Schizosaccharomyces pombe: one gene and its partner. Changing the gene in region 1 together with any one later gene gives a genetic interaction. Each region holds a gene or a part of one and is shown on either strand. Other genes may lie near its edges.

Evidence for each region.
Region 2: of clr5 (region 1) and cnp20, a mutation in one rescues a mutant of the other (synthetic rescue), as found in Schizosaccharomyces pombe (one large-scale study listed by BioGRID).

The regions. Positions count from the first base shown.
Region 1 is NC_003424.3:5,426,768-5,430,698, reverse strand, and holds the start of clr5 (silencing factor Clr5), read right to left. Parts: upstream 2,344-3,931; 5' UTR 2,293-2,343; coding exon 2,177-2,292; intron 1,581-2,176; coding exon 1-1,580.
Region 2 is NC_003423.3:277,566-281,496, reverse strand, and holds cnp20 (centromere receptor protein cnp20), read right to left. Parts: upstream 2,015-3,931; 5' UTR 1,834-2,014; coding exon 394-1,833; 3' UTR 250-393; downstream 1-249. Other genes in the region: SPOM_SPBC800.12C (ubiquitin family protein), read left to right, coding at 2,739-2,846, 2,904-2,967, 3,009-3,250.

The DNA of each region.
Region 1 (3,931 bases):
CTGAGTCATGAGCAGAGGGTCCCATTGTATGAGGCATTGCAGCCTGCGTTGCAGCAGCGGCACTTAGCACAGGTAACGTACCAACGTTATGAACAGATAAATCACGAGATGAACGGACAGTCAGAGTTTCATCGGATGGTTTTGCCTCCGGTTCAATTCGTTCAGAATAGTGATCGCGCATAGTCATTCCATTAGGATCGTATTGAGAATGCTGAGGGTATAAGTGTATACGCTGTAACTGGGAGGGGTCTTTAATTGACATGGAAGACTGCATTGAAAGATTAGAAGGATATTCCGACTTTTGCTCTTGATTAACGCCGTAAATGGAAGACTGCATATAAGCATGTGCTGGTGCTTGCATGTTTTGCCCATCCTCCGCTGAAGAAGAATATGAAGCTGGAAAAATGGACTTGTTTAGAGAGGGGTACTGACTTGCAAAAGAAGCTCCATTTGCATGCGCCATTGAAGGGCTGGATGTAGAATTAGGAGCAGACAAAGAATCAGTAGGCCCTGAATTTGAGTTAGGAGAGGGTGAATGAAGATGATTGGAATGAGGTGTGTATGAATTCATGGGTAATCCATTGACAGCAGTTGGTCCGTTAGAAATTTGTTGAGGAACCGACGCTGTAGAATACATAGGTTGTTCAGATGTATAACTGGGTTGGTGATTTCCAGGCTTACTTTCAAGATAAGATGGTTGATTTGGAGTATATCGATCATAGGAATAAGAATTAACAGGCATCGATTGTGATGATTGCATATAGGATATGTTGGCATGAGTATTGTCCATTGGAAGGGCATTATTACCGTCAGGATGAGCAGCAGATTGGTTTGAAGAAGCAAACATGGTGGAGCCCATTGGGACATTTCTAGATTGGTAGATGAAAGGATACAAAGCTTGTGGCTGACCGTTAACGGCATGTTGAGCAGCAGGGAATGGATGAGATTGTTGCTGTCGAGAGAAACGTTGAGAGGGTATTTGGAAAGGCTGCTGCAAATAAGGAAGAGATGGCATGCTAGAATAGCCAGACTGTGGAGGAGTCAAAGAAGAGTGCGCATTGTGTGCATCAGCCATAGTTGAAGGATCCACACCCATGTGAGGGGGAAGCGAGCTATGGTGAGGAGGATGGATGGCACCCATATCTAAATGGCTCGAAGAAGAAGATGATATAGTAGCGACGGGATCAGGAAGAGTGCTAATGGGAGGAGCAACGTTAGGATTGGAAGTTGTAGACGACGAAGAGTTATCAGCAGACAAAAGACAAGAGTTGGCCATCAAAGGGATAGAGTTATTGGGAGAATCGTGGGAGTCAGGAGGAGGACGCTTTAAGGCTAATCTCTTACGACGATAATGCAAAGCACGTTTCGAAAGTTTTAAACCAAAGTTCGCCTCTATCTGGGCCAAAGAATCTTTATCACTTTGTCGCGCATGAAATAATTGGGTAACGAGTTCATCGAGAGCCTTTGAAACGTCGCCCGAAGCGGTTCGCGCGGCGGCCTCTTCGGTTCGGGGCGAGACAAAACGTTGACGATGTACTCGAATTCCCCATCGAGCCAACACGCGTTTGTATGAGCGAATACTAGAGAAAAGTTAGCAAGAGTAATGAAACAAAACAACAAAAAAAAAGAGCTAAAGAGACAAGTACGCGATACGTGAACATAAACGTGAGCGAAAACGAAGTAGCGAAAGACAACTTCAACGCAACGCCAAATGAAATAGAGGAAAGGAAAACAGGATGGATTCATATGGCATGGTCTTTTGCATGAGCATGCACATGATATACATGACGGGTTATTGTTTAGGACATTTGTATCCTGTATGTAAGTGGATTGGACAAAGTGGATGAAAAAAAAGATATTCCAAACAAAACAGCAAACCAAAAAGACAAAGAAACAAAGAAACAAAATTTCATTGTTGAATGAATGTCTCAGTTGAGGATGTTTTGGAAAACTGCCATCCTGTTTTATTGTCGCAACCCCACATACCCAACAATAGCCAATGTCCATGCAGGCACGACACACAACGACGACCTACACCCAAACATCCAAACACACAATTCCATTCACCTTCTCGTACCTCTAGCCCTGTACTTATTCGCTCCTCGTCGCATCGCAAGCATCTCGCACAAAATGGCGCAACTTGTAGTCCCTGCGGCGACACCAACAAACTACTTACCTAGCGTCAAATTTATACATCTTTGACATTCTCGCCTGCAGCTCGCGAATCGTCATTCCATTGATCTTGGAAAGCTCGATGATCTGCTCTCTTCGACATTCCCATTCCTTCGTCATTGAAATCGAACTTTCGGTTGTCTAATGTTGTTTCAAGTTGAGATTGGAAGTGGCCAGAGTTGGTGGTAGTGGTGGCTCGTAAAGTAGGGGTGAAAATAGTGTATCAATTTAGTGCACGAATGACAACAACGTTAAATGATAAAATAGAGCGATCCAAGGTACACCCCCGGAAACATGTAAGGAACATCGGGTCAAAGAGGATAGAAATATATAGCCAAAAAGGGCGCAACTTTTTTCTATCATCTCAGGCATTCGGAAAAATGACCTCGTATCGATGGTTGCCATCTTTCCAATCACATCGTGAGATATTCATTAAATATTGCTCATGGAGAATTTCGGTTTCACTGTTAAGCCGCTTCGTATGATGGCGCTTCCCTGCTCTTATCCATCCAACAAAACTCATTACTCCTTTCGCACTCAAAGTACTGAAACTCATTCTACTCAACACTACTCTTAGGTAGGTTAGGTTAGGTTAGGTTGGGTTGGGGGAGTTTGGGCCTTTGCTATCCCATATGTCTTTTGGCACGTTTGATCTATTGGTAGAGGGTGGACTCGCTAGCGGCAACTTTTTTCTTTTACCAACTCTTTTGTTCGCTTCTTCCACCTTTTGTCAACTCAACAATAACCTTTAACGTTAAATCCTCGACGAGAGCATTCTGTCCCATTTCCAGTAAGTGAAGGATGAACGTTAGAAAGCTGACATGTTCGCGATTTGGTCTGCTAGTAAATGTTGGGCAGAGATGCCTGCTTGCCTTGTCTTGCCAAGGTATTTTTTTCTTTTCGCAAACGAGTAACAGGTTGCTTTGGAGACGACATGGGTATCTGGAGACGAGTGTCTGAGAAAAAAAATTGAAAATCCGAAATCATGATCAACTCCGAACGTACCTAATTTGGATGGACGAAGAGGAGGAAGAAGCGAGCACCCATGAAAGAGAGCACACTGATGCACGCATCCATCAAGTGTTACAAGACAGAGGTAATAGTAGATGAAATAGAAGGGATGGCAAGGTAAGATATGAAAAGGTAGGGTAAGGCATGGGATAAGAAGAGAAATAGGATAAGAAAAGAAAGAAAGAAAGAAGAAAAATAAAAATAAAAATAATACTAAAAAATAATTGGGGTAATTTCTTTCTTTTTCCTTAATTTATTTTAAAGTTCTTTGATCGAGTATTTCCTTTTTATCGACTTCTTCCTCTTGACACTGCCGATGTCCTTTACCTTGCAAAACTTATGCTATCGCTCATCCCGAGGAAAGTTTATAAACTTGCTAGTAAGACTCGTTGTTTTCTTACTACATAATCCACCTTGTATTCTTTTAGTATACAATTTTAACATACTTTATAGCAGCTTCATTTATACAACATACGGAATAGCATAATTTATTTATTAGAAACTTTTCATAACATACTTTATTCGTATAACATACTCCACTCTATTATTTGTATTATCATCACACTGTCTTGTAAATATAACCCAATAAGTAAATGAATAACTAAATATTAAAAAAAAATATATATTTTGTAACACTGGGATGCCAGTTTTATGCCACTCGCATACCTTTCGCATCCATATCAGACACAACTCTATTTCCTTCAATTTGGCAAACTCTGCGTCCGCCAAAATAAAATCATCAAGTCAT
Region 2 (3,931 bases), on another chromosome or scaffold:
TGCAAACTCATCTTTCAAATACTAAAAAAAATTATAAAAATAAATGTTTCTTGCAGTTAGCAGATAATGAAATTTATTTACTTGATCATGTAATTTTAACTAATGGACGAAAATAAATGTTGGCTAAATTACAAATAATCAAAAGCTGTTAAACAAACTTGTAAGTGTATCGAATCAAGCGTTCTTGCATAGGTTGCAAATTTTGAAAATAATTCTATTTCCTAAGAAAACAAATTTTCTAGACGTGCCTTACAATTAATTAATAATATAAAAATAGCAATAAATATAAATAATCATTAAATTAACTATTAATAAAAAATCTTAACATCCAAAGAGGTAAAACGATGAAAAAAATTCTAATATACAGGGATGAATGTAAAGGAGAAGTACGCATTAGGTTCTCTTAATTGCCGGAGGTGCAATTTCACGCGATAAATATTGCTGCATTAGAGAGGATAGGGATTTTTTCTCACTTATTTTCCTTTGTCTTTTCATAAGTAAAACCACGTCCTGCGTGTCAATTGTTTTCCGATGAGCATGGTCTGCAAAAGCCGAAAGGTCATTCGCGATCTGTTTGAAAAAGAGTTCAGAAGCTGTAGTTAGTTCTTCAATCACTGATCCAGCAATTTTTTTCTGTGAATAGGAATTAGCCAACTTCCTAATATTTGTTTCCGGTAGCACAAGTGTTGAAGATTTGGAATATCTTCTTTTAGGTTTTTTAAACGGAGAATCTTTTAGTTTATTTAGAATTTCCCCATTATCTTCATCATTGGGTATTTCTAAAGCAGAATCAGCATCCATTGGTGCGTCTACTACTGGGGAATTGACAGCTTCGTTGGCATTTTCAAGCAAGTTATCATCTAGTAAGGGTTCAAAATTTGAGATTTCTTCCATCAATTCTCTTTCATTGTATGCTTTTTCACCAAATTCCTGAATTGGATCGGCTGGGAAAGTATTTTCGCGCCTTAAAATCTCAAGGCTGGCGCGTTTAGAAGGTAACTCAGATAATCGAGAAGAGAGAGATGATTGACGGGATCTGGAAGCTCTTGAAGAGTAAGATGGTTCATCTTCTAAAATGTCCGGGCCTAAATTAAAAATGGGACTTTGATATTGGTTCAGGGTCGCAACATGGCGTTGGAGAGGTGTACCGTCATCCATGTCATCTGTTTCATAATCACTTAAAGGAATGCGAAAAATAGGAACTTCGTCATTTTTTAAATCTATGAGTCGATTACTAGAAGCGGTACTTAACGCGCTTTCTTGAACTTGGTCAATATTATTTTCTAATCGTTTTTCTGAGATTAGAGAATCACGAATATTACTGACACGCCTTCCATCTGGTGTAAAAAAGTCGCTAAGGCGCTGTGGAGCACGCCTTGGAGCTTCGATGGATTGTATCGTCAGATTTGCATCGCTAGTGTCGGTACCTGGAGATTGGGAATTCCTTTGTTTAGCATCATTTTTTAAAGTCCGACGCTTATTCGAAGACAATCTTGGTGTCTTTTGAGACTTTTGACTATTAGTTTGTGGAGTATGTCGTCGCTCGGAGGATTCTGATTCAGCTGGTGATGGTACTGGATTTTTTGCCAGCGCACGACTGAGCATTCTGAGAATGTCTCTAGGAGTTGTTGCGGAAAACACATTGCTCCTTCTCCTTGCTAGACTATTCCTGCGTGCAAGAGCTCTCCGTTTATGAGGAGTAACAGTCCGTTGAGCAGAACGTGGAGTATACCTGCTTCTAGAGGGGGTAAAATGCCGTCGCTGAGAAAGTGTACCAACTAAATGTTGAAAGGAAGAGCTCTTGAGTGGCGTCTCATAATTGTGAGAAGCCATTGTAAGCGTGATTGATTAGAAATGTAGGTTGAGTGAATATATGTATACCATGCTACCTATACAGCGATTTGGAGTTTTTGATAAATATTAAGGAGAAATAAACAATAATAATCAATCCTTTTAAAAAACAAATGATTCGAACAAGACGATTTCAGGGCTGATTAAAGATTATGGCTCTAGTAAGGTTGGTTATATCATCTTTCTAATTAGTATACAACTACTTCACACTTTACTTGCTTAAGTTCTAATCTGTCTGTCTTTATATACGCATCTTTTCTAAAACTGCTCCATAGCAATCTTATCTAAAAACATGAAGGAATACAACCTCTTTTAAAAAATCGAAGTAAAACGCAAAGATACTTTATGTGCCTATGAAATAAGATGAAAGCATGAAATGAACAATTAAACTATTTAGCTTTATTGTTTGCTATAATGATAAGCAAAACATTTAGGGAAACAATATTTAAAAACTACTAAACTCTTAACTTTCAGAAACTTGTATGGATAGTATTTGCAACAGCAACTTTATTAACAATGCAAAGATTTCTTATGACTTTAATAATTTATTTAACAGTAAATTTTTAAAATCATAATTATTATTCTTTTTGACAATTCTGAGTAAACTACGTTCGCGAGGTTGTAAAGCTTAAGGCATGAAATAGACGAAGTTATAGAATACTTTATGTTGAACTTGAGCGCTATTACATCAAGGATTTGGACTCTTAAATTTGTCGGTTAGCAGCATTGTAACATAATTATCAAAAACTGAACGTCAGATTTGATGTGTTGTTTGTCAAAGTTGGAACTAATGGCATTTTGTATGATATTTGTTTCGAGATTTTCTCTTTAGTGGTTTTAGGACACTTGATAATTAGCTTGAGTAAACTTGACATTCCACCATCACCATGAGCGAGGTACAAATTGTTAAATCGTTTCTAGAAGAGCTTTCAAAGACCCCTAGGAATCACCCTGATAGTATTCCAATTGAAAAAATAGATGAAACTGCTATTTCGGTGCGTAATAATGATTCTTGTTTCACAAATATGCTATTGAAACTAATAGTTTTATAGATCACTATTCCTGCTCCACTGGTCGAGTTTCAAGGAAATTTAGCTTTGTTCGAGGAAAAGAAAGGTAAATTCTGCTTAAATAACTACTTTTAACTAAAAATCTAGTTCATGTTGTTGCGAAAACTGTCCGACCTCCCATTCAACAAGCATCTACTGAAATAAATGTACAGTCTACAATTTTGGAGCTTAAAGAAGTTTTAGCATCTCAGTTATCTACGCAACCTTCCTCTATCCGTTTGATGTACAAAGGCAAACCTCTTGTCAACTCCAGACTTCTAGATGACTATGTGGATGCCGACAGTGTCTCTGAAGTTAATCTTCAAATGTTTCTAATGAATATTTCTTAAATGACTTGTTTCATGTTGGTATTTACCTATATTAGTTTTTCTCCTATTTTTTGATTAGGAAAGTATTCGACGTCAGACACTTATAAAAAATGAAGTGTGTCATTACATACTTATTATGAAAGTTATAGTTATAACTATTACAGCTTTTCTTTGTGTAATTCGCTCTATACTTTCTCAGTTTTGCATATCTGGGATTTTTATGTTTCCCTTTTTATGCAAGACGCCGGCAAGTAAAATCTAATTTAAAACAAAAATCGAAAGAGCATAGTCAGTAAATAATGTAACAGACATTTTTTTTTTCTTGAATTCCGTACTATAGAAAAGTCAAATTGTATTTATTTATTGTTAACATTTTTCTTTAAAATTCGTATTTAAGCGCCCGTATTTCTTTCATAATTGCGCCCTATACCTCATAAAAAAAGCATAATAATTATAATTTTAAGCTAAATTTATTTCCTTCAACATGTTATATAGAATTGTATATTGATTTTGTCAATGGTTGAAAATTATCCCAAAAGTACAATGTTAAAAGTTTAGCTATTATTTTTTTTGGGATGTAGACTGCATTCATATGTAAAATTTAGCCTTAAAAGTTGAGGGGGTCGTATTTTTGTTTTTTTAAAAAAGGTGACTGATCATGTCCATTTCTCTTTTTTTATGACTTTAATCACCAAAAAAAAT